2 linked regions of the Drosophila melanogaster genome follow. The protein of the gene in region 2 purifies or fractionates together with the protein of the main gene of each other region. This does not show direct contact. Each region holds a gene or a part of one and is shown on either strand. Other genes may lie near its edges.

The links. Proteins that work in one complex are often made in the same cells at the same time.
Region 1: the proteins of Pak (region 2) and dbo purify together in Drosophila melanogaster (affinity purification with western blotting, with the first as the bait; one study listed by BioGRID). This does not show direct contact.

The regions. Positions count from the first base shown.
Region 1 is NT_037436.4:15,825,020-15,832,543, forward strand, and holds dbo (diablo), read left to right. Parts: upstream 1-1,868; 5' UTR 1,869-2,077; intron 2,078-2,926; 5' UTR 2,927-2,983; coding exon 2,984-3,032; intron 3,033-3,299; coding exon 3,300-4,018; intron 4,019-4,166; coding exon 4,167-4,858; intron 4,859-4,996; coding exon 4,997-5,186; intron 5,187-5,251; coding exon 5,252-5,473; 3' UTR 5,474-5,559; coding exon of another isoform or gene 5,560-5,584; 3' UTR 5,585-6,985; downstream 6,986-7,524. Other genes in the region: DCP2 (decapping protein 2), read right to left, coding at 452-560; CG12713 (uncharacterized protein), read left to right, coding at 7,509-7,524. UniProt on the Drosophila melanogaster protein: Probable substrate-specific adapter of an E3 ubiquitin-protein ligase complex which mediates the ubiquitination and subsequent proteasomal degradation of target proteins. May have a role in synapse differentiation and growth.
Region 2 is NT_033777.3:6,349,345-6,353,934, forward strand, and holds the start of Pak (p21-activated kinase), read left to right. Parts: upstream 1-1,551; 5' UTR 1,552-2,007; intron 2,008-3,778; exon of another isoform or gene 3,779-4,195; intron 4,196-4,590. Other genes in the region: Hr83 (hormone receptor 83), read left to right, coding at 1-523, 957-1,168.

The DNA of each region.
Region 1 (7,524 bases), on a different chromosome or scaffold from region 2:
TATTTACTTTTTATCTTACCAGATAAAAAATTAGCCTAGTTCTTTAGTTTTTAGCTACGTGATATTAGCCTTAAAAATATACGATTATTAATGATGTAAACTAATTAAGGCAAAGAAACAAATGGATATATTTTGATTAAAGCCAAATACTTAAGTCCTTGTGTTTGTATTTATTTTTGTATGATTGCAATATTCTGACTATATTTTATATAGATTATGAATTGCTGGGTGGGAGATATTCTGATTGTCTAATTCGCTTTTGATTATAAAGGATTTTGAAACATAATAATCATATAATATGGATAGAACGTGAAGTTCTTTAACGAGAAAGTGTGACTCTTTCGAGCACGTACTACACTTTATGCTTTGTATTTACATATATTTTATTATTTTTATAGTTTATTATGAACCCACTGGAAGTGTACCGCTTATCATCTAGAGACCCGCCTACCGTTATCATCCTTGCTGCTACTGCCGACGCTAGCAGAGGCAGAGACGGCGGCAGAGGCAGAGGCTGTGACGACAGCGACGGCGTTATTGATCAGTGGTGCGATTTCCATAATATTTATTTAGATATCGGAGCTCCGTTTGTTTATGTAATACACTTTATTGGCTTTACTTTTTGTGTTTGTCTTTTTCGCAAAATATTTTTGTTTGTTTGTTAATTCACATTCGCGTCTCTCTCTGTCTGCACCAGTCTTTCGATACGCTTGTGTGTTTATGTGTGAGAGAGCGCAACTGTGTGTATGTGTGTGAGAGAGCGCAACTGTGTGTGGGTGTACGAATGTGAGTATGTGTGTGTAAGCGTTTTGTCACGTATTTTTACAACGGCGTTGCTTTTGTAGTAAATATGGCTGCCAAGTTTCGAAAATTTCTGCAATCGTCCGCTTTTGTCGCACGAATTTAAATTTCCAATGCAATTTTTGTACTTGTACTCTAGTTATTCCATCGGTTGCATTACATCCTTTTGCTATTGTTCTCTCGATTTTCGCTCTCTTTCCCTCAACATGTTTTGCATTTGCATTTAATTCTGTTGTTGCTATTGCTGTTTTTGTTGCTGTGTCGTCGTTTTTGTTATTGCTATAGTCGTTGTCGTTTTTGTTGTTTGTGTTCCACTCCATCCACAAAATAATTGAGTGCGCTCCACTTTGGTGCGAGGGAGACGGAAAATTCTTCGCACGCACACAGTCTCACGTTTTTCCGTTTTCTTTTCTCGCCCAGTTCACGTACTTTCCACTTTCCAATCTCAAATTATTATTTGCTCACCGAACTTTTTCGCGATCTAAATTGCCTTTATTTACACGTTGCACTTAAAATTAGCTACTATTTTGCACTATTTAACGGGCTTTTCAACTGCTCAAAACTCGCCTTCCTCTTCAGCGTCGCGTATAGAAATAGTATGAAATAAAAAATACCAGCATGCTGCTCACTAAGATACCAAAATATACCGTTTCTTTAGCGACCAGGGAAGCCAAATACAGTTGGCTCTGTGATAAATGTACTCTTACAAAGCCTGTCTTACGTTATTTGCTTATTTTTTCGGGAATATTAAAAGACAGTTTACTAATGAAAATTTTAAGAGATTATTATAATGATTTCAATAATTCACAGTTAGATTCCCTTCCGTTGCACTTACTTGTAGTTGTATACAAATAGTGTTTATTTTATTTTTAATTATTTAAAAATATGTGATCTCTTATTTTAATTTCGAAAAAAAATGTGAAGAGATATTTCAAACAGATCTCCTTAAAATTAGCTTACGTTTACGATTTAATAACAATATCGATATAACGAAATGTCCACCAAAGTATCACAATATAAATAAGTGTATTCTCAAAAATATCGATACACTGATATTGTTATGCATTTCTCACATCTCTATCGCCATACCAATCGTTTCGTGTTTCGACTTTTCCAGGCCAACCAAAAAACGATTTTTCCGTACTGAAAAGTGCAATTCGCGCAAGGAAAATCTTCGATGTGGTCCTTTTAAGCCATCAAGATTGCATTTTCGAAATTTTCCGCCTGCAGCTGGCCCTGGACGTGCTTTGTATCCGTAGAGAACAGAGACGCAAAGGTTGGGACACCAACATATACATCGAAATCTAAACCAACATCATCCGCGTGTGTGTGTGTGTGGTGTGTGCTTGTGGGTGGACCAGGTTACCTTTCAGTTTTAAGGTGTTCCATGGAGTGAATGTTGTAAAAGCGATTGAACATATATCACATGAATAAAAGAGATTTCAGTTTTAATTAAATTAGGTTGAAGATAATTCCACAAGCATATTATTGAACTAGAGAACTGTTTATCTTAACCATCGATTAACTCAACCTGCCAATTTGTTTACCAATTAAAGTACATGTTTTAATTTTAAAACTTAGCTATTTTAAGATTCAAAACAGAAGTTTCAAGTAACGATCTTTTAGCTTAAAGTTTCTAAATATTTAAGGATTATTAATATTTATTTTATATCATTTATACGAATGGTGGATTGTTAAACTTAACGTGTTGAATGAATACCTTAAATAACACTCGTATTAGTGTTAAGATGTTTCTTTAGTCGAAAGGTCCACCTTAGTATCCGCAGATCCGAAGTTGTGAATGTGTGCGTGTTACACAGCATGTCTGTGTGTGGGTGGTGCAAAAGGGCGGAGGACAAGAAAAATAAATCAGAATTTCCACATCCAGTGCCCAGAATATGAATTATTTGCATCAAAAATGTACAATTACTTAATTTATTAAGTAAACAGTCGCTTCAAGAAGATATTAAACGAAGCACAATGTCCTTGTAAATTGATTAGTTACTTACTTACTTATAATCGAGTTCAATGCCGCCCTTCTACGCCCTACCTACGCATTGATTTAATTTACTTTGACTTGACCATTAATCACTATTCTACTATATACTACCATTTCTGCCCACAGATAGACGCCGTGTGGGGTTGGGTTGCTTCCGGCCCGCTGCGCTTAGCAGCGAACAGAATGGGCGACCTGCCGGGCTCGGGCTCCACCGCTCAACCACGGGATGCTGGTAAGGATTTGATAGGAGCTTGGTTTGGAATTGGGAAGAGAGCAAGCCAGGGGCAACCTGTGTGCCTCATGTGACTTTAAATACTTCATATTTGTTCGTAAGACTATGATCTTTCAGCTAAAAAATACTATTAGAAAAGGTTTTTCCTTCATAAAAAAGTATTTGAACTCTCATTCACAATTCCAATTAATCGGTACCATTAAGTTTATTTGTACTATTCCAAACATATGGTATTTTTATACTCAAAATCATTATGTATGCCAACAGCTGTCACCGGTACCGGTGGTAATTCCACGGCTGGTGGCGGCTCCTCCGTTGGATCTACGGCAGTGGACCGACCTCCGTCGCCCGCCCGCCTCTCTCACACGTCCGAGAAACATCCGAAGGTCACGCTCACTGAACTAAATATGCTACGGCGCCATCGGGAGCTCTGCGATGTGGTGCTCAACGTGGGCGGACGGAAGATCTTTGCCCACCGGGTAATCCTGTCCGCCTGCAGCTCCTACTTCTGTGCCATGTTCACTGGCGAATTGGAGGAATCGCGCCAGACTGAGGTCACCATACGCGACATCGATGAGAATGCCATGGAGCTGCTCATCGACTTTTGTTACACCGCCCACATAATCGTCGAGGAGTCGAATGTCCAGACCCTCCTTCCCGCCGCCTGCCTGCTTCAACTGGTTGAGATTCAGGACATCTGCTGCGAGTTCCTCAAACGGCAATTGGATCCCACCAACTGCCTGGGCATACGCGCCTTTGCCGACACACACTCCTGCCGGGAACTTCTACGGATCGCCGACAAATTCACGCAGCACAACTTCCAGGAGGTGATGGAGAGCGAGGAGTTTCTGCTGCTCCCCGTCGGCCAGCTGGTGGACATCATTTGCAGCGACGAGCTAAACGTGCGCTCCGAGGAGCAGGTCTTCAACGCGGTCATGTCCTGGCTCAAGTACAATGTCGCCGAGCGGCGACAACATCTGGCACAGGTGAGCTACTGTAAACCATATCTGATTACTACTCACCGATTCCTACTTGTTCCGTTTGATAATTACTTTGGAATAATATAAACAGCTCAATTTTTAAGTATTGCAACTAATAAATAAATAATGAATTGATATTTTCGAATATTCTCAGGTGCTCCAACACGTCCGTCTGCCTCTGCTGTCGCCAAAGTTCCTGGTTGGCACGGTGGGCTCTGATCTCCTGGTGCGCAGCGACGAGGCCTGCCGGGATTTGGTGGATGAGGCTAAGAACTATCTGTTGCTTCCGCAGGAGCGACCGCTGATGCAGGGTCCACGCACCAGACCGCGAAAGCCAACTCGACGAGGCGAAGTCCTGTTCGCCGTGGGCGGTTGGTGTTCCGGCGATGCTATTGCCTCCGTGGAGCGTTTCGATCCTCAGACCAACGACTGGAAAATGGTCGCTCCCATGAGCAAACGACGCTGCGGAGTTGGCGTGGCCGTGTTAAATGATCTACTTTACGCCGTGGGCGGTCACGATGGCCAGAGCTATCTGAATAGCATCGAGCGTTATGATCCACAAACGAATCAATGGTCCTGCGACGTTGCGCCCACCACTTCCTGCCGCACCAGCGTCGGCGTGGCTGTGCTCGACGGCTTCTTGTACGCGGTGGGTGGCCAGGATGGCGTTCAATGTTTGAACCACGTGGAGCGCTACGATCCAAAAGAGAACAAATGGTCGAAAGTGGCACCGATGACAACAAGGCGACTGGGAGTGGCGGTAGCCGTGCTTGGAGGATTTCTCTACGCAATTGGCGGCTCCGATGGACAGTGCCCGTTGAACACCGTAGAGCGATATGATCCCAGGTAAATCATAAATAAAGCATTTAAAAGCTTTAGACGTACAAGTACATTTTCTATCGCTTGTAACAAATGACCTTAATGTACATTGCACTTGAACGTAGTATTTGTTTGATTTACATTGCCCCGATTTTATCATTACAGACACAACAAATGGGTAGCAGTCAGCCCGATGTCAACGCGACGCAAGCACCTGGGCTGTGCTGTGTTCAATAACTACATTTACGCCGTCGGCGGGCGAGACGATTGCATGGAGCTCTCGTCCGCCGAGCGCTACAATCCACTGACCAATACCTGGAGCCCCATCGTGGCCATGACCTCCCGCCGCAGTGGGGTGAGTTTTTGTTACACTTTTTCTCGGCGAATAGTATTGTATTAAATGAAATCGCACCATTTTAGGTTGGCCTGGCCGTCGTCAATGGACAGCTGTATGCTGTGGGCGGCTTTGATGGTTCCGCCTATTTGAAAACCATCGAGGTCTACGACCCAGAGACGAACCAATGGCGTTTGTGCGGCTGCATGAACTACCGCCGACTGGGCGGCGGCGTGGGCGTTATGCGTGCCCCTCAGACTGAGAACTATATGTGGTGCGAAAATAGTTTTAAGCAACCGAATTCCTGAAACTAACTCAACTCCCATCCCTTCCATTGCTGATGAAATGTTGTCTTGTCTCTCTTTTCCCCCCGAAAACATGCTAACAAATTCAGGATACGGAAAGATTCTGTTGTCTGATGGGAACAGCAGCCGACAACGTTGCCCTCGCAAACGTTGCCGCCGCCGCACTTCTACTAACAATATCCGCAATCGAAGCCAAATCTAATCGACTAAACAAAACATCTTTTCGCCCCATTGTCTACTAGCAGTGTAATCGCTTTGTATTAATTGTTAATTGTTTATTTGGTAGAGCCTAAAGCGCATGTTTGTTAGACTTTTCCGGAATAGTATTAGAGTTAGCATTGTTCCCACGTTCACCTGCAATAACACATCCCCATCACTCCTGTGCGTAATTATATATGATTCTACTGTATGTTAAGCAAGTATATTTTATAAATAACTTAATATCTAAATGTTGCCGGTGGTATTTCATGGAAATCGCTAGCTCATAACCATGCCTTCTTTCGAAAAAAACAAAACAAAATCAAATATTAACCTAGAAACGAATTCGATTAGTTGTAAATCCTTAAACGAAGAGCTCTAAAGTCAAGTAACAAATTGGTATTAAAATAATTTAGATTTAAGGAGTGAATTCAAGAAAGTTTGTCCGAAATTAAACATCACAATGGTGCAATATTTCGATCGACCAACTAAACGCTGTTGTTTAGTCAAGTACACTTTAAATCTTTGCAAACGTCTTCAATAATACCACGACTATATGAAGTGAACCGAATAATTGCAAAGAATTTAAAAAAATAATGAATATTCAGCCTGTCAAGCTTAAAAAAAAACCATTAAGGTAATCACACACACACACAATGAAGAAGTTAGACCTAGCCCAAGATAATTCAATAGTAACAATTAACAATTACGCAGCCGTAAGATCAACTTTAAGGTAATAAATTTTAATATTGTTAATCCTAGATCGTGTAAACCGGTAAGAGTTTTCGGCCGGAATCAGGTCAAGTTTTAAGATGACTTATTGTTAAACCAAGTTTGACCATCGAGCTGAATGAACCAACTCGAATTAATCGCTTAGATAAGGGAGTTAAAACACAAGTAGACTCTCAATAACAACACATTTTCTTTGTTGCCTTTTACACCAACACTATTAAACAATTATTTATTCAAAATTATTATTTATTACACGCTTTCGTATCTCATTTAGTTTATTTTAGGTGCACATTTATAAACTGTTGTTAAATCGAGCAAAAAGGAATGATCTTTGCTTCCAAATGATGAATAAGAATAGCATTTATAAAAAACCAAGCTTATTTATATTATAGCTTTAAGTCAAAATGGTCAACAATTATACAAAAATTCGCATACCACCCATTATGCGTAGTTAAAAAATAACATTTCCTAGTTGTGTTGAGTGGTAAAAGTGCTTAACGCAAATAATAGAAGTGTTAACCTAAGAAATGATCGTAAACCCGTGCTATGTATAAGAATATATAAAAATAAAAATATATCAAAATTAAGACACTTTGTTTCATTCAATACATTACAGCCAAGGGCGGAAATTGCTGCCAAAAAATAATTAAAAATAAATATCCAAGTGTACTATTTTGTATTATATTCTATAATTTATAAATTTGTAATGCAATCAATGTACCGTTACGCGGTACTGGTACGCATCGGTACAATAGTTACGATATTGGATCCTTTACCGATAGCCGATGCTCGAACCCGATTGTTTTTGTTTTAGGCCTTAATTCGCACACACTGATTTGGTGGCACTACACACATTTTGTTATTTTAAACATTTTTCAAGAAGTCAATATTATGATAACAATTTTATGAAAATAATTGAACTAAATGCATTCGGAACATTTCGATATACACTGCCGACCAGTGTGAACGCTTCGCGACGTGGAGAAACTTCAGGCACGTCAGCTATCGATAAATTAAAATGTGTATTCGATTAGCGTACGTTAAACAGCTGTTTATTCTGGCGCTCTTTCATACGTTCGCTGAAATAGTTTTGTATTTCTGGCCGGAAATGATGTCCCAAATTC
Region 2 (4,590 bases):
GTGCGGCGCGGGAGCAGCTACGCCTGCATCGCTCTGGTCGGGAACTGTGTGGTGGACAAGGCGCGGCGGAACTGGTGTCCCTCCTGCCGCTTCCAGCGATGCCTGGCCGTGGGAATGAACGCTGCTGCGGTTCAGGAGGAGCGCGGTCCGCGCAACCAGCAGGTGGCTCTCTACCGCACTGGCCGGAGACAAGCTCCGCCATCTCAGGCGGCGCCATCCCCGACGCCCCACTCCCAGGCGCTGCACTTCCAGATCCTCGCCCAGATCCTTGTCACGTGCCTGCGCCAGGCGAAGGCCAACGAGCAGTTCGCTCTGTTGGATCGCTGCCAACAAGACGCCATCTTTCAGGTGGTGTGGAGCGAGATCTTCGTCCTGCGAGCGTCCCACTGGTCTCTGGACATCAGCGCCATGATCGACGGCTGCGGCGATGAGCAGCTCAAACGGCTCATTTGCGAGGCCCACCAGCTAAGGGCCGACGTCCTGGAACTCAACTTTATGGAGTCCCTAATCCTGTGCAGAAAAGGTAAAGCTCCGCCTGTGCGGTAAAAAGGCTTGTTAGGATTTAAAAATAAAAGCGGTTTGAAGCCATCTAACCAATTTTCAATGTTTTTACACATATTGACGTGATTTCTTAGACGAAAATTTAAATCCTATGTACGCTATGTATAGATTTTGCTATTTGATTCTGCATGAAAGAGTACACCCAAGCAGTTTTCTTAACCCCAGAAAAAACGTTTCCGTTTTGGGCTTAATAAATTCAAAAGAAAATTTTCCAGCATGTGCAGTTGGTTTGTTTGAACCAACCATAAAATTTGATTAGATTCAAGATTAGAGACAGATTTAAGACCTTTTACATCGTTTTAATTTAATTAAGAGTTTAATAGGAAGTCAAACCACCATTAGTATATCCCATTTTAATACTTTTAATTGCTTATATCGATTGCATGTTTTTACAGAATTGGCCATCAATGCGGAGTATGCCGTTATCCTGGGAAGCCACTCTAAAGCCGCCCTGATCTCCTTAGCCCGCTACACCCTGCAGCAATCCAACTACCTGCGGTTCGGACAACTGCTCCTTGGTCTGAGGCAGCTGTGCCTGAGGCGCTTCGACTGCGCGCTTTCTTGTATGTTTCGCAGCGTGGTCAGGGACATCTTAAAAACACTTTAGGCTCATATCTATCTTCATCTTTCAAAATTAAAGAAAAACCTAGTCTTAAAGAGGGTACTAGATAATGGCTGTTTTTCTGTTCGCCAGTTCAAACATCTAAAGTAACTTCGCTATCTGAAGTTTCAACCCATATCTAAAAATGCATTCATTTCTGTCAACAATCGTTCATGGAGGCATTTAGACACGCCCCAAACTTTATTGGCACTATGCAATTTGTTGGAAATAAAAATATTTGGAACAAAGAGATTATTATGAACTCAAAATTTGATGTGGTATTTTTTGAAAAACACTTTTTCAAAGGTCGCCAATCACAATACAAAAAACTCATCGATATGTTGTGAAAAGTCACGGAGCGAATATATTCGTTTCTGTTCGCTATCGATATATTGATATATTTTTGCCATCGCTACATTGTCTGCTGCGGCCGTCTTGTCGTCTTTCTGTAATTATTTTTCGTAGTTAACAAACCCCTGAATAATGTAAACCAATTAGTGGGTGATGCAAGGACCGAAAATGCGCGCGCGTTGCTAAAGAAGCTAGAAAGCGAGAAAGTTTGCGGAGCGCCATAAGATTGCTGCGCTTTAACTGCTGCTGGTGCCTCTCGTCCGTCGGCCATTTATGACACACACCAGAGAAAACTGGAAAACAATACAGTGTGTGTGCGGTTTGGAGTGTGTGCGAGTGCGGCCAAGTGTTGTGGGCTCGGAAAACTCCAAGAAGCCAGTGGAGAAGTGGTGTCCACGCGAATCCGTGAATCGCAAGCGTTTCTTCTTCGACTGCAAGCGGCGTACAGGGTGCACCGTGCAAAAGAAAGGCAGCCAAGGCATATTGTACTTGCAGTGAGTTCAAGTGGAGAGTGGTGGCCGAGTGGAGCGGGTAGAATGGTCTTGTGGAGAGCGGGGCGAGGGAGTTTCATTCATAAAAAGAGAGTGCACCGTTAGTCCAATTGGTCTGGCTTCCAATGCACAGACAAGCACACACACACCGCCTAAGGAGAGGTTGCACACATTGATTTTTCCAACTCACGTGTGTGTGTGTGCGTGTATGTGGATTAAAGGAAAACGTTTCAAGTGGTTTCCACGCCACATTATTTTGGATTAGCACATTGCTGCTCCCGAATTTCCAGCCCAAAAATAAAGCAACCAAATGTCAACAAGCTGGAATGCCCCAATGCCCCTTCCCCCGCTATTAACACACGTGACACGATACAAGACATTTACATAAAGCTCTAATAACTAACAACATTTCGCAGTCGATTTGGCATTTAACAGTTACCGCTCTAACGGCACATGTCCAGTGCGCCAGTGCACCACCCCCTTCCTTCGTTCAACGAAAAACATATTTGCTTAGCACGGTCACAGGTAAAAGCGGAAGGGACAGGGACGCGCGGAAGCGGTCGCGGTAGGGAACTGAAAAGAGGAATATAAAAGGCATAACATTTCCGCCTGCTGCTTTCGGCTGGCGTCCGCAACCAAAATAGACAACGTCGGAGCGGCTGAGAGTCTCCGTCGCCAGCAGTTATGCGTGGCAACTCGCTAAATATGCACCGACCATAATCATCGTATCATTTTTAATGCTTACATTTTGTATATTGATACTAAGATAACTTACTTAAAGTCTTCGGACAGCAGAAGGTGATCTTCGTCATGTTTTGGCTTCATATTTATACAGCAATCCTCGGAAAAATTGCGTAAAATGAATTCCATGAATAAATTCTTAAGTTTAGTTTTAATAGAAAGTTAACATAAAGCAGTCGTCAAAGTAATCAAGAAGCTTGATCACAAACTTTGGCTCCGCGTAAACGTGGCGAAGAAGTATGCATATGTTTGTGGCTTCTTTCAGCTCTTGGAGCGAGCGCCACGTTTGCGTCGCTGTTGTTGCAACATGCACCTAGGCCTGCGTCACTTTGAATGTCCTACCCTCCTCCCTTCCGCTCCCCTGCGTTTGACAACCCCTGTCGCTAATTTAAATGCCGCAAGTGTTGTCGAGTTTCCTGTGCCTACAATGTGTGTTTTTCTCATTAGGGAATAATTTTGCATGGGCCCCTGCAGAAAGAAAAACATTTTTTATCGATTTTACCTAAAGTTCGACCGTCAATGAAATCAAACACAATGCGGTACATCGTTAACCCAGTTCTGGGCGCCCACACGCTCCCGAAAAGTTTGTTCTTGCTTGATTTAAAAACGAATTTTCACCTATGTGTGTATGTTTGCATGCATATTATATGTACATACATATATACGTTTATAGATCTCTGGGCAAGCAGCCAGTAAACCAACGTATGCCCATAAAGCCTATAGTACAGATATACAGTTGCGGTCAAGAATATATCACACAGCAAGTTTACTACTTTCTATTTGTCGATACTCCTTTACTTTTTATCTTAAATTCAGTATGTATCGACATACATACATATGTAATTGAAATCAACGAGCGTATCTATTGAGTAAACAATCTACTTACATCGGTGAATTTAAAAACAATTAGCAAGAAAACATTGCACTTGATAAATTGGGGTAGAAAGGTAATGTCGGAATGAACCGCATGACACATAATGATTTGGGTATTTTATCCTATGATTCTCTTATATACTTATGTACACATATATGTACATATATTGGTCACTAAGAACCCTTTTTTCTGATGATTCAAAAGTTGGAGTTGATATCTTATTAGATCCCCGCTATGCTATTAAGTTGACCACAGCTGTTGGAACTGTATGTTAATGTTTGTCCAACGTTTTCACACTTCGCCACCCCCTCGTCCCAGACTCTCCGCCTCCCGTTAGCTGCATTGACTCTTGACGCCTGACGATGATAAATGAATCATAAAAGCAGCGCAGTCGACGTCGCCGGCAAAGCAGACAGGCGCCAAAGCCGCCTTGCTCTCCTCGCCACTCTGCGCTCCCACTCCTTTTCGCCCTCTCGCTCATATGTTTGGCTGCGATGCCGCCCACTCGAGTGTGTTTATGTTGTTGCTGTCCTCGCTGCTTAATTTCCTCATTTGTGTTGCTGTAATTCCCAATGCGTGAGCTGCTTTGTTTTTATTATGAGTGCAATCGAAGCCACTCTTGTTATCGCAACGAATTTTTTATGGCTCTCGATCGTTTACGTGGGCGAGAGCGGAGCAACTGAGGTAGAGAGGATACCCTTAAAGTGTGTTGTGTGAGAACAGTGGTTTGCGTCTAATGGAAACTGAAATTAAAATATAGTCCTTTAATGATTATTCCATTTTGGGTCATATTTTTTAACTCCATATGCTCTATAGGTGCTCCAATGAATATTTAAAATAAATGAACTAAAAGTGAATAGATGTGGGTATACAATTATGATCAATGCACACTTAACTTAAATAGGATAATATTTTAAGTTCCTCACATAGATGCGCAATAATTGCTGAATTGAAATGTATAGTCTCAACTA